Rhinolophus ferrumequinum: one gene and its partners. The protein of the gene in region 3 interacts with the protein of the main gene of each other region in a biochemical or structural test. Links are inferred from orthologs where the notes say so. Each region holds a gene or a part of one and is shown on either strand. Other genes may lie near its edges.

Region 1 (7,061 bases), on a different chromosome or scaffold from region 3:
CTCTTTCTTAACTTCTAGTCCCAATGAATTACTCACTATTAGCGCACACACTGACTGTTGCCTCTTATTTTTTAATCATTGAACTAGACGCAGTAGAGCCATCTCTTGAAATTCAGCATTTATATAAGTCTGTCAAGGAGCTCCTGTTGTCCAGGCAGTGTGTTAGGGGATACAGAAAAAGAAAGGAAAAAAAGAGGACGTGGTCCTTTAGAAAACCACAGTCTTCTGGAGGAGACAATTATAGTACCTTACAAACTCAGAGGACGAGCCCTTAATACCTGAGAGAGACAGGAAGTGTAAAGATTTCCTGGAGCGGGGTGGGAGTGGACAATTAAGCTGAAGGATTTAGCCAGGGGAGAGTGGGTAGTGAAATGAGGCAGGCATGCTACAAGGTAGCATAAAAACACTGCAGTCAGAAAGACGGTGAGCAAACCTGATGCATAATATGTGGGAGACTGGAAGAAAAGCCTGAAGAAGCAGCTAGGGCTTCGGGAAGCATCCATACCATGGAGAGTCTTTTCTTTGGAAGGAAGTGATATGTGGGGGTAAGGCACTGAAATTGCACACCGTTGTTGGATTTCCTTTTGGGAAACTGATTTGAAAGGAGCCGTTAATGACAGGGAATAGTGAGACTAGAGCAGTGCAGTGAAATGCACATTGAATAATAATCTCTAAGGCGCTTTCAGTTCTAATATTACATGAATATAAACATGGGCTATAGAAAGAGCTAAAGAATAGAAACTGCTATTTCCTCGAGGCTTTAGAGGCACAATAAATACCATTTGTTCTCTACTTTGCCCTAGTCAGAATAACCATATTCACCAGAAACTGATTTTGTGATGTGCTTGGGCTGTTTCAAAGGTGAATGTATAAGCTTTGCACTCCTTTCTTCCTCCAAACCTTAGTAGCCTTGAGAACATTTCCCTGGGGATATCAGGATGGGCATCAAAATTGCAGGAAGACCAACAATTCAAACGAAACTGCAAGTCTGAGGGTGGAGAAGAGGTGTGAGTAGGTCAGGTACCCAAGATTTCCTGATGGTGGCTGAGCTGAGACTACTGGATCCTGAGTGAGGAGCCTACAACTTGGCTGGGAAAGGAATCGAAACTGTTCACCCGGGAGAGTGAACATTTTACCTGAGGCTTGCGAATGTCATGTCACCTGGAGGCCCATGGCCATTCCTTCTATTTTAAGATTAACTTCATTTAGAACTACACAATTAATTACTCACACCATAAGCCACACGCAACATTGTCAGTAAACATCAAACAAAATTCCTTAGCAGTTCCATTACCTCAACTGGACAATAGCCATTGTTTGTGTTACCTTTTTAATTCTAGCCATTATGCCTTATAGGCGTTTCATGATTTTAAACAAGGATAAATGCTATTTTAAAAAAAACCCAATATTTTATTATATGTAATTCCTGTGAGGCTACATAGTTCCTTTATTGTTTCTAGTAACTACTTAACATTCTACTAAGGAGATACATGCTAATTCTCTAAACTAATCTCAATTGTTGGCCATTTAGGTGACTTTCATTAAAAAAAAAAGTTAGCTACGTCTGTTTGAGTGAACCAATCTGTCTTTTTAGAAGCATTTAATTGACTTCTCTTTTACCATAATAGGCAGACATTTTCTGCACTTTTCTTTCCGAGGTTTGTGTCTATATACAAACAGGTCAAGAGGATGTTTTCAGTGTGCTGGCTGTTGGGACTGCAGGGAGGGAATGTGGTTTGCAGAATCAGGAGAAAGTGACTGAGGAAGGGCAAACATCCCCACGAGGCAAGTGCAATGCTCTCGCTTTAAGGTCTTCTCCTTTGGGTCTTTGGCAGGGTGGTCAACCACACGGTGTGCCTGTGACCGAGGAGTTTCCTGGATTTTGAGACTTTCAGTGCTAAAACCAGGAAAGACCCCCCTAAATGGGCATGAGTCGGTCCCCCTACACAGTGGCATGAAGGGAGTGAAGGAACTGAGAAAATAATGAATCATTTATATAAGCTAGCCCTGTGTCATAAAAGCATCAGAAAATCTGCTCATGCACAGCAATGAAACATTTATTTTTTTATGTAGGAGCCAAAAATGGATATTTATCTCAGGTTATTGCTCTGCTCCCCCTGAAACCATTTCTTCATTTATTCAATAAACATGTATGAAACATCAGGCACTGTTCAAGGCATAAGACCTCTGTTTTTGTGGTACTTTGGTGTGTGTGTGTGTGTGTGTGTGTGTGTGTGTATTGGGGAAGGGAAGCAGAAATATATGAAAAACACATGAAATACATGAGGATGGACTATGATAAATGCAATGGCAGAAATCGGATTAATGGAATGGAAACCTCGGGAGGGAGTGCTACTAGCTTGTTGGTGGGGGAAGGTTACTCTGAAGAGCTGACATTTGAAGCAAACCAGTAGGAAGAAGAGCTGGTCGTATGAGGATCCACGGGAGCATTAGGGGGAGCAGCATGTGCAAAGGCCCTGACTGGAAACCAGTTGGTCTTCTCGGAGGAACTCAGTAAAGGACTTTGTGGATGTCAGGTAGGGATGAATGCTGACCTAGAAGCAGTCTTAGCAACCACCAGTTTCCTTGGCAACCAGTCCAGCTTCCATTTTCACAAAGGAGGATGATAAGACTGCTGAGGTCCATGTGCATTGACCACGGTCTCTTGGTTCCTAATCCAGCACCCTTTCCACTAAGCCACGCCACACTGCCATTCCCACCTCCTTGGCTTGAGTATTTAATTGCTTTGTACACTGAAGTAAATCAAAGAGATTCATTCATTTTAGGTATGAGAAAAATTGAAGTTGGAATTGTTTGTGGATGGACACAAAGGCCAAAATATTGGCCTCAATGTAAAGAGAGTAACTTTGGGGTCCAGATTAACCTCCAATGGTGGGGTCCCCATGTCGTGAGCAGGCAGGACATGGCTAACAAAGTAGCAGTCTCACACACGTTTGTGTCTTTCCATAATGTCAGGCTTCATTAAAATAAAACCATGGATCTAGTCCCATTGGCTCAGTTTACCACAGGCATCAACCAAGGCTCCCGCCAAAAGATAGTCTCCAATAGTCAAGGTAGAGCGGTTTCATGTAAGAGGGTCATACAGGTTTGCAAGCAATAGGGTTAGGTAAGGTGAACAGGGTCGTTTGAAAGAAGGATGAGAGAGAGTCCGGTGTTCAGCAGAAGTCCTTACCGCCCTGCGGTGTGCAGCAGCAGGCTTGAAGCCCAGCTGCTGAGACGGTCAGGAGGCAGGGCTTCAGGCCTCCATCTGGAATGAGTGCAGATGAGGCTGGCAGCTCCTCAGTTGAGGCCTGAGCAATGAGCGGTCAGAGAGCTTCGAGTTTAGGCTCAAGACTGGGTGTGGTGCACCCATCTGCAGTCTGATAAAGCCGTCCAGGTGGTCACCCTTCACCCCGAGTCTGGAATTATCTGGTTAAGACGTTCACTGGATATACCTTTCAGGTAATGCTCTGGCATGACTGTCATTTTGTGACTGACATAACTATCAAAATTATTAGAGTCCATTTTGTGTTCATTATTAATGCTCTATACACCCCAGTAATTCTGTAAGACACATTCCCAGAACATCAGGTGAGGACAAATTCTGCAGCTCGCCAGAAGCTGAATATGAAACTGGTGAGTAAGTTTGGCAGCCCTAAGTTACCTTTCACTTTACCTTGTGTCAGTTCAGGCCTTGTGGGTGCTACAGGTTGAAGAGTCCAGGGTTTGGCCACAAATAGCCGTAAGAGTTTAAAGGGCAGAGAAAGCAGGCAGATGTGATTCTAGGTATGACAACTAAAGGAAGGTGGAGGAGGTTGGGGGGTAGAGAGCAAAAGAAAATGTAGTGCCTTATTCAAGGTACAGGACTGGGATCCTGAATCCTCCCGTTTCTTCCTTCATCTCCCGCCCCCTGGGTGGGTGACAGCCGCCACGGGTTAAAAGAACCGCAACGTGAGCGGTGACTGGCAACTCAAAGAGTTAACACACAATCAAAACTAACGCAGGGGAGGAGAGAAACACCACACCCCACAGGAGCGCGGAGCCAACTCCCGAGAGAGAAATTCTATTGGCGTCGAGAAGCAGGGAGCCAGCCCCTGGGCGCGGCTTGCAGGGGGCAGGCGGTCGTTGAGGGAAGCGGAAACAAGACCAGGCTGGAGCCGGTGGCAGTTCTGCAGTCTCCGGCTTCCCGGTGACCCTCTCCGCGTCTCCTCCCAGTGCGCCTGGCTCGGCCCGCTGACATGTGTGCCGCCCCGATGCCGCCCCTGGCGCACATCTTCCGAGGGACGTTCATCCACTCCACCTGGACCTGCCCCATGGAGGTGCTCCGGGATCACCTCCTCGGCGTGAGCGAGAGCGGCAAAGTAAGCGGTCGGGCGGCGGGGCGCACCCCGAGCGGCGGGCAGACAGGTGGCAGGCATCCCGGTGGCAGGCATCCCTTGAGCTGCGCTGCGGGGCCAGGAGTTCGCTCCGTGCGCGGCAGCGAGCGCCGCGGCTCCGGAGTTGAACTTGAGTGTTTGGCTTTTGGGGAATGTCAGAAAAATTCTGGCGCTAGGTTCGTGAGCTGGCCAGGAAGTAACGTGTTCCCAGAAGCTGGGAGCCTTGGAGTCCCATGGGTTGGACAGCCGTTCAGGCTGCAGTGGAAGGGGGAGCAAAGCTATACCCTAGCGAATCTTAAAGAGATCATTAATAAACCAGAACATGACTTCATTCATCTTCGTATCTCCGGACCCTGGCAGAGTGCCTGACCCAGGCTAGGCGCTACGTACATTTATTGTGAAAGAAATAACGGAAGAGAGGTCATTTGATCAATATTTTTTAGCCCTGTCAGTGCATGGAATAAGGAAAGAACTGAATTCATTCACCTGATAATTTAACAGACAATATACTTATGATTCAGACTACTTGTAATACTAGAAAGGATAATAGAGAGATATTATCCATCCCCTGCCCCACCACACACCCATAGCCCTCTGCATCAAAACAAGCAGTTCCGTTTTGTGGTTCAACGTGTCTTCTATGAGTGTATCTTCTATACTTCCTTTTTTCCAAAATCAAGACTTCTATAAACGACATGGGTAACTTGATGTCTAATATTTACTATTCCATAACACACCGATAGTAACTTTATCAGCAGTGTCCTGGCCAGTTTGACAAGTAAAAGCCATCTCATTTTTAGAAGAAAAAGTAAAGCTGGGTATAGGATGTTTTTGAGCTTTTCCCCAGCAGTTTGGTTAGCAAAAGTACAAGTGTTGTGACTTGTCAGCTTGGAGATACTATTCCTGACTAAAGATTCTTCCGAGTCAGTGACGGTTTTGAATCAGGACTCTTACATTTGGGAATAACTAAACCCCTGTTTTTTTATGGTACTTAAAAAAAAATATTCTCTCTGTGCACACTCAGGGAGCCTGCTGTTATGTTTCCAAGGTGATGGAACTCTCAGAGCTCCCCCAAATGGGAAGACTCGCATAAACCCTGAGACTGATGAATTGTTGCCTTATGTACCTGACCCTCAAGTTTCAGGGAACGCTTATCACTCAGAGCATGTCTCAAGAGGCAAAGGAACAGAGACTGTTAACAGGAAAGATTAGAGGTGTTTGCCTAATCACAAGGAGCTGTTAAACTCTTAGGATTCTTTTTAAAAATCAATTTCCCATATCCAGAATTTTAATTGGTAAGCTAGCAGACAAGGGAGTGGGTTTGAGGACTGGCTTTAACCAGTGAAGATGAATAAGAAAAGGAAGTAATTTATCGAGAAAATTACCTTTTCTGGGTGTTGTACAGAAGAAGAATAAGAGTGTCCCAAACATGTAATTAGTAGTTGAGTCAGGAAGTCTATTCGTAAGGAAGGAACATATTGAAGTTATAAATTTAGAAAAATGTCATTTCCCCACAAGAGAACATTAACTAGGAATTGAATACAAAGGTGAGTTAATCAAGTGGCTTAGATTTATGGTATAAAAATGCTCTAATCAGTGAGTTGGTAACTGCCTCCTGCTCTCTTCCTAGGTGCAAGGCAGTTGATTTCTGCCTGTGTGTAAAGGGAGGGCACGTCATATACAGAGGGTGCCAAAAAATGTATACACATTTTAAGAGATGTTATGTATATAGCAGTAGTTCGCCATAATCAGAAGTGTCTGGACGCTGACGGTAACCACTTTGAGCACCTCTTGTAATTGCAGAAGTCAAACGTGACTATCTGTATTACAATTTTCATACAGTTTTTTCCTTTCTTAAAATGTGTGTACATTTTTTTGGCACCCTCTGTATATATCAAGACTTGATTTCCCTCATTTGAAAGTGGGAATGCCTCTCCTTTAAAGTTACTGGGATAAATATTTAAAATTTTTCAGAACTCTAAACAGAAAATTATATCCCCATGAAATAAATATGAAGAATCATCATGATCTTTACATTTTTACTGAGCTTCTAAAGCGGTTCTCAAACGTTGGGATGAATCATAAACATCTCGGGGTGCTTGTTAAAATGTCAATTCCTGGGCATCATCCTCAGAGAATCTGAATCCATAGGCCTGGAGTGGGCCCAGCCTATGGGTTCCAACAAAGGTCCCAGGAGATCCTAATGTAGGTAGTGAGTGCATTACATGTTGGGTAACCACAGCATATAGGCTGTTTGATGGAACCAGTTGTGGGGGGATCTGGGGTGCTCGGTTCTCCATTACAAGCCCAGGTCTGGGGTAGCATCTCCGAGAGGGGTCATGACCTCCTCTGTCCTTTTCCCTCTCCCTCCTAGACCTCATCCCTCATTTTATACAACTTCATTTAGGCCCAGAGAATGGTAATAACTGACCACTTTTGATTCATTAATTTAAGCTCATTCAAAATTAGGTTAATTAAAAAAAATTCTCTAGTCAACCTTTTAGCATTGGGCATTTTGAATTCAGAGTTAGTTTTTCTGCTCAAGGAGCATGGAGCTTTTCAAAAGAAAGATGCCAGCCTGTATAATTCACCTGCAGATATTTAATTCATGTTGAGACAGTGTGTGCTCAAATATTACCCAATTACCTGATTCTTCCCATATGCAACAGAGTCAGGTTGACTTTA
Region 2 (7,437 bases), about 120 Mb from region 3:
GTGTAGACGGGCATAATGATCACCATAACCAGGATACGCGTTGTTATTATTTCTAAACATTGATGAAAGCCCAACTATGCCCTGAGCACTGTTAGGCACTTTTACATAATAATCTCATGAGATAAATGGATTATTTCCATTTTGGAGTGAGAAGACTTAACAATAGAAGACAAAGCATTTCCCTCTCCTTTTGGTCCTTCGGTATCAGGCCTGTGGCTAGAGATACTCTTGTGTAATGTCATTAATTTCCATATGAGGAGTTGGTTGTCTTAACCTTTATATTGTACCTTTAATAAGTCATAGCTCTTCAGGTTTTAGACGTATAAAGAGAAAGTTCACAATCTGTTCACTTTTTTGGTTGTTGTTAACTACCATGAGGCATGAAGTGAGTGAAGAGATCACACAGCAAAGAGGATCCACCCTGCAGCCCAGAATGGCAAAAGCTCCAGGTCGGAAGTCCCTTTTGCATTCCCTCAAAACCATAGCAACTCTATTTCTGCTCTTGTTTTTCTTCTGAACCCAAACAATATTTATCCTCCAGGAATTATTTCTAAAAATAAAACAAGAAGAAACATGTCTCTACCTTTGGTTTCTAAATGTTACTTGTAACCTCCGATTTCGTTTAATTCCCCACTAGAAAACACTGTCCGTTTCGCTATCTTCAGGCTCCATGCAGTTAGAAAATGTATGCCCTCAATGCTTCATGTGCCCGTCCTGCCACTGGGGCGGGGAGATTCCCATAAAGGAAATATGGTGGAGTTCACTGCGGCTCAGCCCCGAGCTATGGACCATTACTTCTTGTAACGCTCTGCCTTTCATCAACTATCAAGCCAAGTCCAGCCCAAACAGTTGGGACGCTGGGACCCCACATCTGAGTTTTTCTCTTGTTTCACTGGCCACTCCTTTTCAGTGTCTTTTCCTATTTCTTCCTCCTCTTTCTGACCTCCACAGTTGGAGTCCTTGGGGACCATCCTCAGCCTTTTGTTGCCCCGCAACAAACAATTATCTGACCCCAAATGCCAATGGAAAGTTTGCCCTAAAAGATTTTATTCAATGCTATCATATACCCAGATTCAATCCACATGTTGATGACTCCCAAATTTCAATCTCTAGTCCTGCTTTTTCTCCCCACCCCAGGTTCTTATATGCAACTGTCTCCACTTATGTCTGTTAGGTGCCTCAAACTTCACTTGTTCACATGTTTGTGGGCAAGAGTTTGCTTGTGAACAAGTGAAGTTCGAGGCACCTAACAGTAAGTGGAGACACTTGCATATAAGAACCTGGAGTTGGGAGAAAAGGCAGGACTGGAGATTGAAATCTGGCACCATCCAAGGAATTGTCTCAGATTCGAATTCTGATTTTATGGAAATCATTCGATGCATGCATACTATGACTAGAATCAAAGAATGATGGAACTGTAGGGATCTATCTCTGGGAGATGAGAGGAAGACTCAGAAGCTTTTGAGATGGACCTAAATTTATACACTTCTTGTGATGGGAGAGCCAGAATGAGAACTATTGTTTGTTACAGCTTCAGGGCTGATACGTTTTCCTGTAGCTGACTTGGCTCCCTTACGTAAAATATGTAGCTCAGTTGCTTTCGCATCATTATTTTCCTAAGTCATTGTTAGATAGACAGTTTCCTATAGTACAGGGGTCAGCAAACTACAGCCCGCAGGCCAAACCGGGTCTGCCACCTGTTTTTGTACAGCCCATGAGAATGATTTTACCATTTTTAAACAGGAAAAAGTTCCGAAGAACAATAATAATTCATGACATGTGAAAAATATATTAAAAACAAATTTTAGTGTCTGTAAATAAAGTTTTATTGGAACATAGCCACACTCATTCATTTAGGTATTGTCTCTGCCTGCCTATGCACTACAGCGGCAGAACTGAATAGTCACAACATACACCATCTGGCTGGCAAACTGAAAATATTTACTATCTGGCCCCTTACAGAAAAAGTATAGTGACCCTGGTCTACTGACAAGAGCTCAAACATTAGATTTCAAGAAAAACAAACAAACAAACATGGATTTCAGTTTTCACTCATCTGACAGTGTGATCTTTGAGTACGATTCAATGTCTGTGAACCTGAAATTAAATGGGGATCATAAGACTTTCCCTGAAGGGTTGTCAGACGTGTTAGAAGCAATGCCTGTACAGGTTTAAAATATACTAGGAACTCAACAAATATCAGCAATGACAATAATAATACTTACTAATATTATCATTAACACAAACTTTACCTTCAAAATTTCCCCTTTGGTATGCATTGAGAGTTCCTGTGTCAAATGCCTTTTGAAATGCAGGCAAATACACGACGTAAAACAACTATCCTAGCCCCTTTCATCCATTAGTTGGGTGATGACAGAACAAATTCTCATCACATCATGTTTTGACAGCAGACTGCAAGGAGGTTAATATCTTTACAATTCACGTCATTGCACCCCATCATGAATTCCCTGAGTAATCAGTTTCCTGGAAAATTGTCTCCCGAGTGATAAAGTGACACTATCTGAAATAGGAAATTATCATATCCTGCCCAATCCTCTTTCCAACTTTCTTATCCCAAGAATGTCAGAAAATAAGTTCAGTTAACAGAAAACGGGGAGCCAACATTCAGTTAACAAATAGCAGATAGAAACAGTCCCCAGGCTACCAGAACCCTACTCCTTCAGATTTCCTGGAGGACACTTAGAGTGGCCATAGAGGCCGAGTTTAGCCTTGCGTTTTGAACAGCATCGCCACAGGCATCTAGGATCAGAGTTGGGAGTATGCCTGACACTCACCTTGACCTCAGCCCTGTCCACCTCCTGTCCTTCAGAAGATTCTGCCATCCCTGGTGGCTTCTTGGCATCAGACATGCCTCCTGGCTTCCATCTCATTCCTGGAGTGCAAAAGAGGTCAATTCTAGCCCTTTTTCTTTGTGTGACCCCATCCTCTCCCCTTCTTGCATCCCGCCATTTTCTCCTGTTCTCTAGTCAGTTTGGGCTTAGCAGAGTTACTTGCAGCCTCCTCAGACTTCCTCTTCCCGCTTCACTCCCCTTTCTATGGCACTTTCTGGGATGATCCACATCTCTCACGAGTGACAAGACGTCATCTTGCTAATTAACATATGGCCTAATTATGGCGGTGTTACACTTTAGAAGACAGAATTAAAATCTGGAATGACCCAAGTAATTAGGAGGAGCAGGCAGAGACAAATGAAAGCAGCAGTGACAAAGTGAGGGTGGGCAATGACTTGGGCACGTCCTCTGAGGCTGAAAACAACTGGCCTCTACTCAGGTGCATGGACACCTGGGGATTGACTCCAAGCAGGCTGCTAATGTCACAAGGGAGTATCCTATGTAGGGCAAGAGGGGATTTTCTTTCCTCACCCTCCTCTTTATCCTCTCCTCCAGCACCCGTGGTGAGAGCAAATGAATCAGAAAAATTCATGCCCACAGAGTTGAATTTTCACAGGGTGTTGCAGAAGACCCGGGACAGTGGGGAGGGGTGCAGTGTGATAGCTTTTTTTTTTTTTTTGCACTTTCTTTTGATACTATTTTTTATTTATTTTTAATTATAATTGATATACGTGTGATAGTTTAACTGCCGTGCTGAGGTGGACACTAGAAAGTGGTTCCTACTCTGCTAGCATTTTGGCCTGGGATTAGAAAAATAAGGACATCATGTGCACATTGGTTGGGTTCCCCCAGAAGTGGACTTTGGGTCAAGAATGTGAGTACAAGGTGTTCATTTGGGAGATCTAGGAAACCCTGGCAAGGAATGAGAAAATGTGACAGGGAGGGGAAAGAACGTGATAGAAGGTATGTCAGCAAGCACGTTATCACTGTGAGCCACTGGAGCTCAATCCAGCTGGGGAGACAGAGCAGAACAGGGGTCAGCCAATTTTTCCCATAATGGGTGAGATAGTGGATGTTTCCCGCTTAGTGGGACAAATGATCTCTGTCACAACTACTCAACTCTGCCTCTGTAATGTAAAAGCAGCCATAGATAGTACAGAAATAAATGGGTATGGCTGTGTGCCGATAAAACTTTATTTGCAAAACCAGGCAGCCAGTCCAAGTGCTGTCGTTTGTCAGCCTCTTGCTGTAGAATAGTGTCTCTCAAACTTCTGTGGTGAAAAACAAAATGTTTAAAAATGTCCAAAACAAGACCTTTGTAAATACAACAACAATGAATCACTAGAAAACATGAAATAAAAAACACATTCAAAATACAAGTCTTTCAAAAAATTATTAGAATGAAAAGACACGCAATGTCTCTAATTGCTGTAAGTTTCTAAATACTCTGAAATTGTACGACTTTTCATGGTCTTATTGGCCATCTACCTATAAACTTTTGTGAAGTGTATTTTCAAGTCCCATTTAAAAAACATAGTTTCTCAGAGAATTGCTTGGTGGTGTAGCCAACCCCCGTCTCCCTCCCCCTCCCCAGGAACTGGGTACCAGAATGGTTAGATGCCCTTTAGACAATCAAATAGCAACATCATAAGTTTGAGCCTGCGGGGGCTGCAGAAAAGTCTAGGCTGGAATAATAAATTTGCAAGTCATCAGCATACAGATAGTATCCAAAACCATGAGATTGGATAAAGTCTCTGATCTGACGGGGTAAGGGTAGAGAAAGGAGCCCAGGAGGGAGGCCTAGCAGCTTCCAGCCACCCACAGGGTGGTATTATCCCTGTAGAAAGTTTGTGTAAGATGAAACATTGGTGGTTTCACAGACAAGATGGAGTTTGAAAAGCCTTTGGGGCTCCGGGAGAGAGGCAAGGGCAGAATGAGCTCTAGCTCCAACACAGAACAGTCTGGTTTTTATCAGTTTCAACACTTAAGCTTTATTTCCAGAAGAAACGATAAGGCTTGGGGTATTCACTGCTAAGTGTATTTGCTACCTGGATCTAAGTGAAAGGACCCTACGCCCCCTTTACCATTTCTATAGAAACGAAGCCACTACTGTATGCCTATGGTAGACATTGTTTACTTTCAAGTAAGCAACAATATTTTCATTATACAAAGCTTTGAATGCATGCAATCCTCTATGACAAGATTTCTGATAAATTATATTGCTTTTGAAAAAATTGGGCTTTATTGTAAAATATTTTGGTTCCAAATGACCTAATAGTCAAGAATCTGCCAAATATTATTGTGATGATTAAATTTTATGCGTCAACTTGTCTAGGCTACGGTTGCTTGGTTGGTCAAATACTAACTTAGTGAAGGTATTCTGTAGATGGTATTAACATCTACAATCAGTTGTCTTTAAGTAAAGGAGATTACACTCTGTACTGTGGGTGGGTCTTATCCAATCAGTTGAAGGCCTTAAGAGCAAAAACTGAGGTTTCCTGGAGCATAAGGAATTCTGCCTTAAGACTGTTAACAGAGAAATCTTGCCTGAATTTCTAGACTGGTGGCTTACCCTATACACTTAGAACTTAAGACTACAACATCAACTCCTGCCTGAGTTTCCAGCCTGCCAGACTGCCCTACAGATTTCAGACTTGCCAGGCCCCACAATTTTGTGGGGCAAGTCCTTAGAATAAATTTCTTTTGTGTGTGTGTGGGGGCGAGTGTGGGTGTGTGTACACACACACACATATATGCAAATATATCCTATTGGTTCTGTGTCTCTAGAGAACTTTGACTGATAAAGCTATTTATTCACAGATTTCATGTAGGTAAACATTAATAAGAAAACTATATTGAATGGTCAAGAAGCATCCTTGGTGCTCCTCTAATGACGTGTACTACCCCAGGACACCAGAGGTGCCTTCAGATGTTTGATGAATGGAAAAAAGAGGAAGGGAGGGAAACATTTCCATCTGCCAACTGAACTTTCCTGCAGTTTCTGCTTGGAAATCAAGATGGAGATGATCTGTAACTGGTGGCCTTGATGCTGACACAGACCACCCTCAGCACCTCTTGGACAGTTCACCGCGTGCCACTCAGAAAAGAAAAAGGCTGATGAGTTGTTCTTTATAGACACTGAGGGTAGACATTTCCAAAACCATAGTGACTTCTAGAAACAATATGCCATTGATAAGAAATTACTTCGAATTGCAAAATGCATCTGTGTCAAAGAAATGGATGTAGAAGACCGCACATTCTTTTGTTAGCAAAACTGAATTCAGCCAGATACACTTTCCCATGTTATTACAAAGCGAGTTCTATAATAATTAGCAACAGACTGAAAGACAGCTGATTTTCTAAATCACTTGCTTACCGATACAGGATTGCAACTCAATAGGACACTCTGAATAACTTATTTTTAGGACATATGTTTTGCATGCCATTATTTTCACAAAGAGATGTTTTGTGAAACAAATTGTTCATGTCTCTGACAGATTTTTATGTAAGAAGTAAATAGAAATACCTTCATAAGATCATAGGCCTAAATGTAAATGCAAAAACCCTAACATTTCTTGAGAAAAATCATAGGAAAATATCTTCTTGATGTTGTCGTAATCAAAGATTTTGTTAAACGTGACCCATAAAGCATTAACAATAAAATAAAAAGTGATACACTGCATTTCATCAAAATGAAAAGCTTCTGCTCACCAAAAGACACCATTAGGAAATGAAAAGGCAAACCACAGGCTGTGATCAGATTTGTAATACACAACCCATGACAAAGTACGCGAATCCGGATGCTAAATAGAACTGCTACAATCAACAATAAAAAAGACAAACAACTATGGTTTTGAAATGGGCCTTGAAAATAACACTTCACAAAAGAAGATTATAGATAGATGGCCAATAAGCACATGAAAAGATACTCAGTGTCATTAGTGATCAAGAAATGCAAATTAAAACAATGAGATGCTACTATAAACCCAGTTAGTTTAAATGGAAAGGTTAGCATTAACAAGTGGTAGCCAGGATACAGAGCAACAGGATGCTTATACACTGTTGGTGGGGATATAAATGGTGTGACATATTTGGAAGAGTTTGACACTTTCTCATATACTTTCCATAGTCTTACTTATAGGTATTTCGCTCCTTGGATGGTTACCCAGTGGAGATGAAAACATATGTCTACACAAAGACTTGCATATAAATGTTCACAGGAACTTTATTCATGGTAGCCAAAAACTAGAAACACCCAAATGTCCATCAAAAAGTGAGTGCATAATCAAATTGTGGTATATTCAAACAACGTTATATTACTCAGCAATATAAAGGAACGGACTACTGATAACATGCAATGACATGAATGAATCTCAAAATCAGTACGTGGAGTGATCAGTACGTTGGCCTGGGGTTGGTGGTGGAAGAATCAGAGGTAGATCTGACTAGAAAGGGACATGAGAGATCTTTCTGGGGAGACAGAAATGTTCCATATCTTGATAGAGGCGATGGGTACGTGGATGTATTGCTTTGTTAAAACTCACTGAACTGTGCACTTAAGGTCTTTGCTTTTTACTTCCTGTAC
Region 3 (7,459 bases):
CCAAGCCAGGGGCGGGACAGGAGCAGAGTAGACAAGATTCCCCACGAGGGAGGAGCTGATGCCCGTGGACTGACGGGCAGCAGAGTCCATGGCCTTCAACATCTAGTAGCCATGGGAAGAGATGCAAGGGAAGGGGTCAGAATGCAGGGTTACTCTGACCAGCCCACAGAGGTGGCCTCCCAGACAAGATATACTTGTGGCCACTGTCATACTTCTGGACAGACAAGTAGCACCTGCTCCCTGACTCCCACTCTCATCATCCCCACGAATGGAGAAGCCCTCTTGCCTCTCTCCCCAGGTAACCTGGCACCCATCCCACATCTTTCTCTGGCTGAGTTGCCCCTTTCCTGACCCCAGGTCTCCTTTGAAGAGCAGAGCTGGGAATCCAGGATGAGGGCTCCTCCAAATGCCCTGCTCTGCTTTCCTCCTCCCACACAGCTTTGGCTTCCAGAGGCAGAAAGGTGGAGAGGGGGAGAGGGCTGGCTAGTCATGCCTCCACCTTTCCTGGGTCTGGTCATGGAACTTTATGCCGTGCAGCCCTAGGAGTTGGGGGGAGGACTCCAGCTGCAGCCCCACTCTGGTCCCTGATCCCAGGAGGAAGAACTGATGACTCTTCAGAGTCCCCAAACCGACACAGCTGCCTGAAATACCATGTGAAAGAAACACAGGCAAAAGGACACTCATGCAGCTCTTGCATGCATCTGGGGTACCATGTGTACCCACATGTGATAAGCCATGCTTCAAGCCCAGTACCACTGACATCCAGAGGATCCAGCTGCCACTGGTCCACCCTCCCACTGCCCCCCTCAGGGACCCTGCTCCCAGGACCAGGAGCCATCCAGGGATCAGCCCTGGCAGACAAACCTTGGCCAACTGGTCCAGCCTTGGAACTGTCACTCATCTCTCAGTTGATCGGGACAAGCATGAGAGAGTGTTTGCAAGGGTAGTGCCCCATGATAGAGAGGAAAAGGAGACACGGGGACTCGCTGCAGAGGGCAAGGGGCCAAGGCAAGGGACACGGGATGCAGTCAGTGTAGACAGACAGAAGACCAGAACCCAGGACCCCTCTCTGCAGGAAGTCCTCACCTTTGCTTCTGAGTGAGAGCACATCCTATCCCCAGAGGAGGACAGAGGCAGCCAGAATGGTCACCAGCTTGGGGCCATCAGCACCTGCCCTCAACAGCAAACCCTCCTTCTCTCCCCCTACCCTGGGTGCTGCAGAGCTGAATAACCAGACAGGCCCTCCGCCATGCGTGCCAGGGACCTGGCTCTGCCGGCCCAGCCTCCATTTTGCTGCTTCTCCCACAGATGCTTCTTCCATTTTCTAAGCTGGCAGTTTAGGCTGGGAGTGGAAGCCAGAGTTGTGCCCAGCACCCAGGGGTTCCCAAGCTGTGCCAAGTCAGGCCTGGGGGGCCAAGCTCTTCCACATCTGGGGGGACCCAAGGGGCACATGCCCCACTGGGGCCAGTCCCTGCACCAGGGCACCATGCCTGCTCTGGAGCGAGGAAGCTGGCTTCAACCCCCCCCCCCCCCAGCACACACTTCAGAGCTGCTTGGACAAAAGAGTCCGTCCTCAGTCTCTCAGCCTTGCTTGGGACGTGTCTCTCTCCTCCTCCCCCTCCCCTCTGTTGCCTGTCAAGAGCCTCTAACCAGGGACACCACACACACACACACACACACACACACACACACACACACAGGCACATGCTCACACACATACATGGAGCCACACACACAGGCACACAGAGACACCTCCACCTTCAGAGACACGGCCTCACACCGTCCATGTGCCCATTCACACACAAAGGGACTGGGACGGAGAGGGACTCCTGGCAGGGAGGGAGGACGCTCAGGGAGCCTGGCACATGGGCTCTACATAGATTCAAAGGAGCACCATTGCCTTCCTCCACACACCTCAACGCACACGTCCCCCTACGCAGAACACCGTGCCCCCTCCTCCCCTGCCGTGGAGACACACCACACACAGCCCCCGCAGAACCTCCCGCCCCCTGCCAGACACAGAGACACTGCTAAACCCCCACACTGAGACAGCCCAATTCCCCCGCACAGGAAAATGTGCCCCTCCGCCATACCTTCACCCCCTGACACAGACAGTTCCTCCCAACCCCCTCCAAATGGAGACCCCCAAACAGACACACACAAGGAAGCACACATTTCCCACCGCCTCTCCTGGTCCGGCTTGCAGCCCCAGGAAGCCCTACTGCACCCCAGGCCTCTCGGCCCCCACTCCCCAGCCCCTTGGGGTTGCCCCAACGACCCCCCCAGCTCCGCTGATCCATACCTGCTCATACCAGTCTCGGTTGGTACAGGTGCACTCTGGCCACCAACTGGGGCCGCTGCCGTTGAGTTTGGGGGTGCTCTTGCCCGGGACTGGCTTAGGGGGCACTGGCCCCACATCGCGGCCGGTGGGGATGAGCTTGGCCTTGGTGCGGGGGGTAGGGGTGGCCCCCGCCTGCGAGGGCAGGGTCTGCGAGCTGTAGCCCCCATAAACTGTGCTGGCTCCATTGCCTCCACCTGGCCCGTAGGGGTCGGGCACCTGCCAGTCCCCGTAGCCGGGAGGCTCCAGGCGCCGCAGGGCGGCCAGGCGGGTCACCTCGTAGCACTCGGGGCACTTACAGCAGTGCTGGTGCTTGTGCATAGCACTGCCCCCCGCGGCCCGGACCCCCCAGCCCACGCCGCTTTCCACGCCGCCGCCGCCGCCGGCGCCGGGCTCCCGGGCACACTCACACTGCTCGGACCAGGAAGGGGGGGGGACCCGTGGGGGCGCCCGGGCGGACCGGGGCCTGGGGCCGGGCGGGCGTCCTGGGGCCTCTGCCCCAACGCTGCCCCGCACCCACGGCTCCCCCTCCAGCACTGGCGGCTCCGTGTCGCCCGTAATGGCTTCTGGGCCGAGGCCCAGCGGCAAACAAGAAGCGGGAGTCTGGGCAGAGGATGGGTGCTGCGAGGACCGCTCCTGCACTGGTCCCCAGGATGGATCTGAGTGGAGTCAAGAGCATCTCTCCCTGGCTCCCGTCTCAGTTGATTCCAGCCAATCAGCGTGCAGAGTCGGGCAGCGGCAGCGGCAGCGGTAGGAATGCTAAACAGCGGCTCCTTAAAGGAACAGGGGCAGTGGATCCCCAGGCTCAGCCCCAACCCCCCAGATGGCTGAGGTACCGCTGACCCTAGGGCGGTCGCATGGGACTTGGGCCACGCGTGAACTCAGTCCCCAATCTCGTGTCCTCATACCCCCAATTTCAGCGCATCCTCCGCCCACTCCACCCCACCCCACTTCCCAGAGGGAGTTGCAGGGGGACGCTCAGTGGGTCCCCGGGCGTGCTCTGAGCTGGGGCCACCAGAAGTAAAGATTTGAGGCAGCACAACGGACGAAGGGACGGTGGGGAAGTGCTCTCTCCTAACAGGGGATAAGGGAAGAGGGCGGCTTACGAGGCTGCTCTCCTGTCGGGGGCCCCCTCCTCAGGACTATTGTTCTCTCAACCTCTAGGCCCTGAAATGCTGTCAGCCTCCCACTCGACCTGCTTCCATCACCAGTGAAGGACTTAAGCCTAGGACCGGAGGGAAGGAAAGCTCTAGGCTCTTGTCCCTGGCCCACAGACTCCTGTCTCCCCCCAGCCCCACTCCCGCACAGTTAGGTTGAAGGAAAGCGCTTCAGGATGCCAAGAGGAAAGAGAGACCAGGGCAGGAGGAAAAAGGCAGGAAGAGGTCTGAAGTAAGAGGAACCATTCCTGGGGTCTGCAGAAGAACTTGGGATACTTGCCCAAGGACATCCCCTTAGCTGCTCCTGGCTCAGCCTGCTGGGGGATGGAAGGAGGATGGCATGCTGGGAGGATTCTATCTTTTTGCTCTTCTTTTTTTTTTTTTAACTACAGTTGACATACAATATTATATTGGTTTCAGATGTACAGCATAGTGGTTAGACATTTCTGACTACAAAGTGATCCCCCCGATTAGTACTCACCTGGCACCATACATACTTATTACAACATCATTGACTATGTTCCCTATGCTGTACTTTACGTCCCCGTGACTACTTTGTAACTACCAATTTGTACTTCTTAATCCCTTCACCTTTTCTACCCAGCCCCCCAACTCCCTCCCATCTGGTAACCATCAGTTTCCTCTGTGTTTCTGTGAGTTTTGCTGTCCTTGTTTTGTCATCAGCTACCAATTATTGAGTCTTTACAAAGTCCTAAATGCTTTGCATGCAGACAAAAACCCTACCAAGGTGCCACTATTATTACCCTATTTTTACCAACGAGAAATCGAGGCTCAGAGCTGTTAACACAGCTAGGTACCACAGCAGGAGGTGACAGAATCAGGATGCAAATCCTGGCCATTTGCCTCCAGAGTCCATGCTCTGAACCACTTCAGTACAACAGAACTTAGATCTCACTTCAGTTCAACAATCATTGCACACCTACTCTGTGCAAGACCTTGACCTAGGTCCTAGGGATACAGAAATTCATTCTTAATTCAACAAATATTCATTGAGCACCTGTTATGTGCCAGAAACTGTTCTAGGATTTGGGGATATTGCAGAAAACAGAACAAAACACAACAAATCCCTGCCCTTGGGGAGCTTACATTCTAGTGAGAGAACACAGACAAAACTGAGCACAATAAATAAATGAATCACACAGTATATATGATGAGAAGTGCTGCGGAAAAAAAGAAAAAAGTAGAGTCAACAACTGGTAAATGTCTTGTTATATTTGCTCTATCGATCGACCTACACTTCTTTCTGAACCATTCAAATGTAAGTTCCAGATTTCATTTCACTTCTCTAAATACTTCAGCATGCATCTTGTTGGAATGAAGACATTCTCCTACATAACCACAATATTATTATGACATCAAAGAAAATAAGCAATATTTCATATCACCTAATATCATCTAATATCCAGTTCTATATTCAAATTTCCCCCAATTTGCCTTTTATATTTTTTAACATCACAAACTAATCAAGGTTCTCAAATTACATTTGTGTCTTTAGCTACTTTTAATCTAAGCAGCCTCAATCTTAAAAAACAAATACTTTTTATTTAAAAATAATTATAGATTTACAAGGAAGTTGCATAGATAGTACAGAGGGGGCCTGTATACCCTTCACCCAGCTTCCCTCAATGATTGCATCTTCCATAATTATTGTACAAAATCAAAATCAGGAAATTGACATCGGTTCGATGTGTGTATAGTACTATGCCATTTTACCACATATGGAGATTTCTGTAACAACCATCGCAATCAAGATACAGAACCATTTTATCACCACCAAGATCTACTTGTGTCATTTCATCAAGTTGAGGAAAGAAGAAACTTGACCTCCCTTTAAGTCTCTTTCCTCTGTCCCATTTATAGTATGATTATCTTCAATATTTCCACTACATGTATTGAACTCCACATCAATGGTGTTATACTTATTGCTTCAATCATCAAACATAATTTAGACAGCTCAAGAGGAAAAGGAAAGTCTATGTGCTTACAGTTTAATTCATTCTATTATTTCTTCCCTCCTGATGTTCTAAGATTTCTACTTTGATAGCTCCTTTCTGTTTTGAAAACTGCTTTTAACCGTTTTTTTTTAGGGTGGATCTGCTGGCAATATATTCTCTTAGCTTTCCTTTGTTTGAGGATATCTTGATTTCCCTCTCATTTCCGAGGCTATATTCACTAGATATAGCATTCAAGGTTGGCAGTTCTTTTCTTTCAACACTTGAAATAAATTGTGCCACTTCCTTCTGGCCTCCATGGTTTCCGATGAGAAATCCACTGATATTTGAATTGTTTTTCTCCTGTAGGTAAGGTGTTGTTTCTTTCTTGCTGCTTTCAAGATTTTCTGTTTGTCTTGTTTTCAAACGTTTGATTGTAATGTGTCTTGGCATGGATTTCTTTGAAATTATCCTATTTGGGATAATTTCAGCTTCTTGAATCTGTAGGTTTATGTTTTTTGCCAAATTAGGGAAATTTTCAGCCATTGTTTCTTGAGGACTTTTTCATCCCCACCCTCTTTCTCTTCTCCTGGGACTCTGATGACACAAATGTTAGGTCTTTTGTTATAGTCCCACATGTCTGAGGCTCTGTGTTTTTTTTGTTGTTTGTTTGTTTTTTAAGTCTATTTTCCCACTATTCAGATTGGGTAATTTCTAATGTTCTATTTTCAAGTTCTCTGATTCTTTCCTCCGTCCTCTTCCACCCTGCTGGTGAGTCCATCCACTGAATTTTTTAGTTCGGTTATGGCATTCATCTGTTCTAAAATTTCTATTTGATTCTTCATGATATCTCCTATTTCTTTGCTAAGACTTCCTATTTTTTTTTTTTTTTTTTCAACCTGTGTGTAACTGCTCACTGAAGCACAACGTTTCTTTTTAACGTTGACCACTTTAGAATCCTTTTCAGATCATTGAAAGCTCTCTGTCATCTTGGTGTTGGAATCTGTTATTTCTCATTCAGTTGAGAGTCTCCTGGTTCCTCGTATGAAGAGAGATTTTTTATTGCATCCTAGACATTTTTGGCTATTATATTATAAAATTCTGGAACTTATTTAAATCTTTGTTTTTGGTAGACTTCTTCTGACACTGTAGCCATCAGTGGAAGGGCCACTGCCAGGTAGGGACAGAATTTCAAGTTCTCCCCTCCATGTCAGTTGATACCTCAAATGGGGGCTCTTCCTTACTGCTGGGCAGGGTGGGAGTTCCAGCTCTCCACCGATACGTGGGAGAGGTTGAGGTACCTCCTTCCTGATCCCCAGGTGGCTTCCACTGACCATGGGTGGGGGCGAGGGTGATTAAGGAGTAGGGGAGGGAGGGGAGGAGGGAGAGGGCAGGGACAAAAGTCCTGACTCTTCACTAGGCCTCCTCTGACACCACCCAGTGGGGAGGGGAGGCCTTGTTGCTCTGTGGGGATGGAAGCCCAGGCTCCCTATTAGACCTTCTCTGACACCACCCCAGAGAACATGGGGGAGCTTGATGAAAGTCTGAATTTCTACTTGGCCTTTGCTGGTGTGTGTAGGGATGCAGTTTTTTCTGTGATGTTTGGTTGCAGTAGAGTGGTTATTATCTAACAGTTTTCTCTCTGGCTACGCTGTCCATTTCCTGGTCTTTTGGCTAGAGAGAGCAGGCTTTTATTGAGGCTTTTTTTGGTTGGTGCCCACAGGATTTCCAGGCTGCTCACTTTTCTGGAACCCAGTCTGGGACATAGGAGACAACAAGAAAATGCAGGGAACTCACCACCGTGAGTTCAGGTCACTGGAGTTCCTAGTCAGTCTGCTGTTTTCTTTTTCTTTTTTAAAATTTTTATTGGGAATATTGGGAAACAGTGTGTTTCTCTAGGGCCCATCACCTCCAAGTTGTTGTCCTTCAATCTAGTTGTGGAGGGCGCAGCTCAGCTCCAAGTCCAGTCGCCATTTTCAATCTTTAGTTGCAAGGGGCGCAGCCCACCATCC
Region 4 (6,998 bases), on a different chromosome or scaffold from region 3:
AGCAAGCAAAACAGAAGGACTAATGATAGGATTATAGCAGTGTAAGTCATTGAAATTAGCAAGAAGGAAGACTTGAGGCATAGGGACACCCAAAATATGACAAAGTGTAACTGAAAATTATTTGGGATGCCCCCAGATCTATTGAGAATTCCTTCCTATGTGAAAACAAGAATACAGTATAGTACTGAAATGTAGCTGTTGGGCTAAGGAAGTTGCCCCCACACACCACAAGTGCAACTCAAATACCTCAGCCTAATTACAAAATACTACACATAACTGAAAAAAAACTAAAAAATGTTAAGATTAACATTTTACCATGAATGTAGAAAGAATGTAGAAATAGTAAACTATTCTCTATTGTTAAACATTTGTTGATTCTGGGGATGCTAACTATTCGGGTTCTCAGTTTCTTTGCAAATCAGGCAAAACAAAAAGATAATCATCATGGAAACAATTCATTTATTCGGGTCAGTCTCATGTAATAGACATCTCCTGCTTTTTTGACTGCTCAGCATCTTTGTTATTAAGGAACTGTCTCTTCTCCTACCTCATAAAGATTCTGGGAGAGCTGATAATCATATCTCCCCTACCACGTGGGGTTTGTCACCTGTCTCAAAGTCCCAAACAACAGATACAGCTTAGAACAGCTCTAGTCTAGAACACAGTTAAGCATGTAGAAACCAGCACACATACATTCCAAACGTCGCATTAGAGCCTTTGTATTATGCCATTCTAACATACTTACAGGTTGCCCTGCCCACAACATCAAATTCAGGAGCAAGGGTACGAGGCACAATGACAGCAGCAAGTAACAGTGAGGAAATAAAAAAAAATCTAAAAACATACATCATTAAAAAATCTAGTAGGCTTTGAAAAACAGTTTGGCAATTCCTTAAAAAGGTGAACGTAAGTTTACCAAGTGACCCAGCATTCCACTCCTAGGAATCTACCCTAGAGAAACAAAAACATGTCCACAGAAAGACCTGCATGTAAACGTTCCTAGCAGCATTATCTATAATAACCAAAATTGGAAACAATTCAAATCTCCAACCACTGGTAAATGGACTGACAAAATGTGGAATATTCATTTCACACAGTAGAATCCTCTTTAGCAATAAAAAGGAATGAAAATATTGATGCATGGATAACAGGAAAGACATGCAGATGCAAAAGATTACATATTGCATGATTCCATTTATATGATATCCAGAAATATAAATTTATAGAGATGGAAAGCAGATTAATGGCTGCCTAGGCCTGGGGGTGGGAGTGGGGACTGTCAACAAACTTGAGGTCATCTTTGGGGTGATGAAATGTTCTAACAGTGGACTGTGGTGATGGTTGCACAACTATAAATTTACTTATAATCACTGAATTGCACACTTACAATGGATGAATGTTATGATATGCAAATTACATCTCAAACTGTTAAAAAGTGCAGCCAGCTGATGTGGAAGCAAATAGTCTTAGGAGCTAGTGGACATCCTTTTATTTTTAGCAACTATTAATATTAACAAACAGTAATAATAATGACAGTCCTGGCTCAGTTTTTTGTTTATAGGCCCTAATGTAATTTAAAATGTTTTGAAAAACAGTCCACCCAAAAAGTTAAGTTACCTTAAAAGGAACAGGAACCCTCAGATCTGAGTTATAAAACAGCTAGCCTTGCTTGAGACTTTACCTTAAAACCCTGGATATTCATTCTACAAGTCATCAATTTTATTGGAAAAACAAAATTCAAAGAGTAAGACTGTCACTACTGGTACATCATAGGTCACGGTATTATCTTTCTACCAATGGATAGAGTCTGTTAAAAGGAAAATATTATACCCTTAAAAGGATCACTATATGTTTATATTCCAGCCATACAGGTGACATGTAATGTTCAATGGATTCTCCTAAGGCCCCAACGGGCAGAAACAGAATTATGCAAATGTTATTAAAATATTTATGTTTGCAAAGAGGAGCTCCTTGAAAGTGGCTATGTGAGTCAAAGTAATTGCTTCACTGATTAATATTACTAACACAAATCTTTCGAGACATACAGTGGAGGACGCATGGCAAATAGAACATTAAATTAGGAGTTTGGAAATACAGGACAAAATCTGCCCAGTATTTAGCCGTGACATTTCATTGAGCTTTAAAAAGCCTAATATACAAAAGAAGCTGTACTAATTAATTTCCATGGCCTCCTCTTTCAATACTAAAATGGATGAGTCAATGGTTTTCTATAATCGCAGCAACAAATTTTGCTGAATGCTTACTATGGACCAGGCACTACTCTAAGCACTTCAGATGCGTATATGAGTTATCTGCATTAACTCACAATCCTCACAGCGACTCTACAAGGCAGGTATTAGGACCACTCCCACTTCATAAATGGAGCTGGGGCCATGCATCACCTAACTTGTCGGTGACAGAACCAAGATTCACGTCAGGCAGTCGGGCTCCGGCATTGTTAACTGCTGGGTGTCTGTCAGAAGTCGCCGCGCTCGGGTGACAATCCCTCTCCCCCTACCCGACAGGCTCCTGGACAGGTTCAGCCTCCTCATTTGCATGTTTCGGAACCGCCCCCATCCCAGCCAGTACAGGCTGGCGCCGAGAGCCGGCCCCCCGCGGTCAGCCCGCGCTCCCCACTTGAGGGAGGTCGGAGGAGGAGGGTGACCGGCGCCTGTCCCCCTCCCGGGCCTCGGACCGCCTGCCTGGGTCCCCAGTCGCTGCTGCTCCCTGCGCTCACCTGCCGGCAGGCTCCGGGCGGGGGTTGTCCGGCGAAGGCCCCGCGGCGCCGCCCGCGCAGAGCTCGGAAGCCCGGCGGCTTCGCCTCCGCGGTTGGGGCTGCTTCTGGGCCGCCAGCTCGGGATCCATGGCGCGGAGGGGGGTGGGGCGGTGGCCGGGTGCCCGGGAGGCCCTCAGGGACGGGCACCGCGCCGGACCACTTCTGCTCGCAGAAAAGTTTCAGTCAGGAGCGCGCCGCCGCAGCCGCCGCCATCTTCCGGGGTTTGAAAATGGCGGCCGCGTTTCGACCAGCCAATCAGGGGACAACGGGCAGTTGCTAGGAAACGAGTCCCTCCCCTCTCTCTACCCTTCCTGTTGCTCAAGCAGAAGCAGGAAAGGAAGGATGGTTGGAGGGAATATCCCTGCAGATTAGTGAGTGGCCTTGGATTTAATTCTGACTCCATTCCTGAATCTTCAAGGCCTGATACCTCTCACTGTTACTAGGACTTTCACTGCAGGCCAGGGCACAAGAGAGGTTAAAAGTAATGACTTAAGATGAGGTTTGTTTATTGGCCACCTACCTGCTAAATTATTCATGTAAGATAAATCCCCAGTTACCAAAGGTAATGGAAATGTGTTTTCAGGGCTGTCTCTAGGAAACCAGTAAAATCTAATCATGAGCCCTTCTGTCTCCCAGTGCGGAAGAGACAGTCAGCAAAAGAGTAAAGAAGGCAGCAAAATGCACATCGAATAAGGACTTTCTCAAATAAAAAAAATGCTAAATAGTACATTCTTTGATTTTAAATATCGCTTTTTATGTATCCAAGGCTTTAAAAGTAACCTCTCCTTTGACACTATTCTATTCCTGGGATTCTATTCCTGGGAATCTGTCCTAGGAAATAAAATTATATGTGCAGTGAAGGGTGGCAGAATATGCCAGCCCCACATGTGCTACTTTGGCATTAGGATCATTTTGAACTACAGGCACTTAAAGAACACCAAGTGTGGGAAGGACACTCTGGCCTCCCGGTGTCTTCCTGAAAGCAGGAGCTAAAAGCCACGTGAAAGCTGCCCTCCCTATACCAGGAGGAAAGAAACATGTTTATCGGCAAAGATGGCGGGGAGTCAAGGGAGACCAAATTCTGTACAAACAGACCTTATTAAAATAACTCTTATCTTCCCTTGGTCTCTCCATCTACTTTAGTTACTTTTCCCCAATTACCTCTCTTCCTCTGTCTTAGTGTATAAGCACTTAGATTTTGCCACTTTGGGTCTTCATTTTCCTCTGGGGGCTCCCATGTTCATGTAAAATCTGTTTGCTTTTCCTTTGTTAATCTGTCATCTGTCATTTTAACTCTCATGCTGAGTTGGACACCCTGAGGGTAAACTTGTGTTTCCCCTACAAAGGGAAGCTATTGATGGCATTGTTATTTAATGGCATCAGAAAAAGTACAGACAATCTAAATAAACAGTGATAGGGAAATGGTTAATTATGGTTGATCCACTGGAAAGAATATTTTCAGCCAGTAAAAATTAACTATGAAGTGTGTTATAGAATAGTATATTGTAATTTTTAAATAAAACATGGAATATAGGGTGGCCAGTTAGCTCAGTTGGTTAGAGTGCAGTGCTCTTGACAACAAGGTTGCCCGTTCGATCCCTGCATGGGCCCTGTGAGCTGCGCCCTCCATAACTAGATTGAAACAACTACTTGATTTGGAGTTGATGGGTCCTGGAAAAACACACAAAATAAAAGTTTTTTAAAAAATGGAATATAAAGTTATATTTTGTGTATTCAGAGCTATGCATAAGAGACTTAACAAAGGAAACATATGAAATCAATGTATTAAAATGTCTCTAGGATATCAGACTTTGGGTATTAAATTTTTTAAAATTTCTTGTATTTATAATTTTTTTTACTGGTGAGGTACTGAACTCACATCACATTTATAACACAAGGGAAAACATGTTTTAGTTTTAAGGAGGGTAGGAAGTTAGGGAGTAAGATGCCCATAGTTAAGATCCACCTCTATTTTACCTTTTCCTACCACCCCCCAAAATTAAAGAAGAAAGTACTGCTTTGTTAGAGTAAAACAACACAGACATGCCACCTAGGGAGTTGATCTCTACCCAGACGGAGCTTTATAGGACGTACGCATTTAGATCATACCTTGTGAAATCTCCAACATTTGACCTTTTCAAAGCAGCAATTTCATCATTTCAACCTTATATTTTAGTGAGAGCTCCAGAATTTAGAGTCTGTCAGCTCTGCAGGTCCTGAAACTGGTTTTGATGGTATAATTAGAGATGGTCAGTTCTCTGGGAACTTTAATAATCAGTTCCCAAAGTGATAGATAATCCCGGATGTTGATGTGGGGATCCTCGGTGTGGAGAATCCCCACATCAACTGAGCGGGGATTCTCAGAATAATGCTGAGAACCTCTTTCCAATTTTCAGATACTTGGGAACTTACTATTATATTTTCTTCAATTATTCACAAGTGTTTATTGAACTCCTATTATAATACACCAGGCCCTGTGTTGGATACTAGAGAAAAAATTAATAGGAGGCAAATTTTAATCAGAGGTAAACTTTCTGGTGTTTGAACATCCCTGTCTCTATATGCAACATCTTACTCTGCCTAGAACTCTGCCCGAATATATGACAAATGTTCCCTGCATCTCCTCTTTTATCCAGCTCCATGCAAACCATCCACCTCTATTAACATATTCTTTGGGGCAAGGTTTGAGGGAATTGATTAAGTTTCAGCTTTCATATATATTATAAAAATCAGACTCTAGATTTCCCTCCCTGAGAAGATATTCCCATTGTCTTAATTGGACGTAAACATTACTCAAATTTCTTCAACCGTAGATTTACAAATATTGTATTGCGGGACATTCTCAAAGATCACTTCCAAAATCTTCGGCCATACTCAATGACAGCACTCATCATGTAGGTTGATATTAAACATATTCAACAACTAGTATACTAGTGTAAGTTAATATGTAAATCAATAATTCCAAAAATTATTCTCTTACATTATCTAAATAAGTCAAACTCTATTTTTGTAAAATTGCTTACCAAGTGATACATATGCTGGTTGTAGCAACCAGTAAGGTCACACAATATATACCAGCTGTTTCATAATGGGTTTTAGAGGGACAATGCTGGCAATTCACAGTTCTTCTCGTGAACTCCGTGTTTTTTTGTCTTCTGCCACTTGCAACAATCTGATTTACCACTCTACATCATAGATATTCAGTTCTTTCATCAGACTCCTGTTTTGCAGAAGAATCACAATTAGAAAAATGCTTCAAAGATATCGAAGCTATGATATCTTAAGCTGCCAATGGGAAGCTTCCTGTACGGTAAACTTATTTTATGAAAAAAACTTTTAATAATCTTACCTGTTAACCTGAAGAGTGTTTATAGGCATAATGGAGCAGAAAATTTGAAATCAGGTTTGCTATTTCTTAAAATCTATCGTGTGTGGTGGGGAGGGGAAATTGTTTCATTGTTTTGCATCTGTCAATCATCTATTTTCTCTAAAGGTTTGTTTTCAGATGTTCCAATGAGAGACACACAAAAAAATTAGAAACTGGAGTGTTTACTGTAGGTTTTAAGAAGAGATTAAAACTTGAGAAGAAAAATATGTGGCCAGAAAAAGCACTATTAATTAGAAGTCGATTGAGACTAATTTATGGTATGTTTACACTATCTTACAAAGAGGACAGTGAAGCGTTAAAATACTGAATTATGCTAGTAATGGGAGAGGAGGATGGGGAGGAAAAAGAGAGAAATGTGGGCATTGTGGGTGTGGGACTGACAATGGAAAATGATTTGGGTTGGGGCAGTCAGGGCTGCCAACAAAGAATTAGCAAAGATAACTTCTGAAGTGTCAGAACATCATTCGGAATTATTTCTCAGAGCTGAGGATTTCTTTTTTTTTTAACGAGATTTTCTTAGAAGATTTTCCTTTTCTCATTACCTTAGCCGGTAATTGGCTAGTCTATATTAAAAAAAGATTTAAGAAAGGACTTTTGAAATCCTAACCGTAGACACCAAACTTTAATGCTTGCAAGTTTTTTCACTCTTTTTCAGGACCTAAAGAGAGCCACCTTGTGTGTCAGTGAGGGTTCTATCAGAGAAGCAGAACACATACGCACACACACACACACACACACACACACACTTTTTTCCTTTAAGACTTTTTATGTATGTATATGTTGTTGACTGGACAAAATAATTCTCCAGGTAGTCCACCAAAAGAGCAGTTTATT

What was found.
Region 1: the proteins of DLG3 (region 3) and GDA form a complex in vitro, tested with the Homo sapiens proteins (2 studies listed by BioGRID and IntAct, with this or other methods). The link is inferred for Rhinolophus ferrumequinum from reciprocal best matches to the Homo sapiens genes DLG3 and GDA.
Region 2: the proteins of DLG3 (region 3) and FRMPD4 interact in a test that uses a peptide from one of them, tested with the Homo sapiens proteins (2 studies listed by IntAct, with this or other methods). The link is inferred for Rhinolophus ferrumequinum from reciprocal best matches to the Homo sapiens genes DLG3 and FRMPD4.
Region 4: the proteins of DLG3 (region 3) and NET1 interact in a test that uses a peptide from one of them, tested with the Homo sapiens proteins (2 studies listed by IntAct, with this or other methods). The link is inferred for Rhinolophus ferrumequinum from reciprocal best matches to the Homo sapiens genes DLG3 and NET1.

What each region holds. Positions count from the first base shown.
Region 1 is NC_046295.1:38,297,116-38,304,176, forward strand, and holds the start of GDA (guanine deaminase), read left to right. Parts: upstream 1-4,059; 5' UTR 4,060-4,238; coding exon 4,239-4,361; intron 4,362-7,061. UniProt on the Homo sapiens protein: Catalyzes the hydrolytic deamination of guanine, producing xanthine and ammonia.
Region 2 is NC_046284.1:117,977,033-117,984,469, forward strand, and holds the start of FRMPD4 (FERM and PDZ domain-containing protein 4), read right to left. Parts: upstream 3,025-7,437; 5' UTR 2,796-3,024; intron 1-2,795. UniProt on the Homo sapiens protein: Positive regulator of dendritic spine morphogenesis and density. Required for the maintenance of excitatory synaptic transmission. Binds phosphatidylinositol 4,5-bisphosphate.
Region 3 is NC_046284.1:2,238,702-2,246,160, forward strand, and holds the start of DLG3 (disks large homolog 3), read right to left. Parts: upstream 3,016-7,459; 5' UTR 2,660-3,015; coding exon 2,303-2,659; intron 1-2,302. UniProt on the Homo sapiens protein: Required for learning most likely through its role in synaptic plasticity following NMDA receptor signaling.
Region 4 is NW_022680355.1:11,537,867-11,544,864, reverse strand, and holds the start of NET1 (neuroepithelial cell-transforming gene 1 protein), read right to left. Parts: upstream 3,002-6,998; 5' UTR 2,866-3,001; coding exon 2,738-2,865; intron 1-2,737. UniProt on the Homo sapiens protein: Acts as a guanine nucleotide exchange factor (GEF) for RhoA GTPase. May be involved in activation of the SAPK/JNK pathway Stimulates genotoxic stress-induced RHOB activity in breast cancer cells leading to their cell death.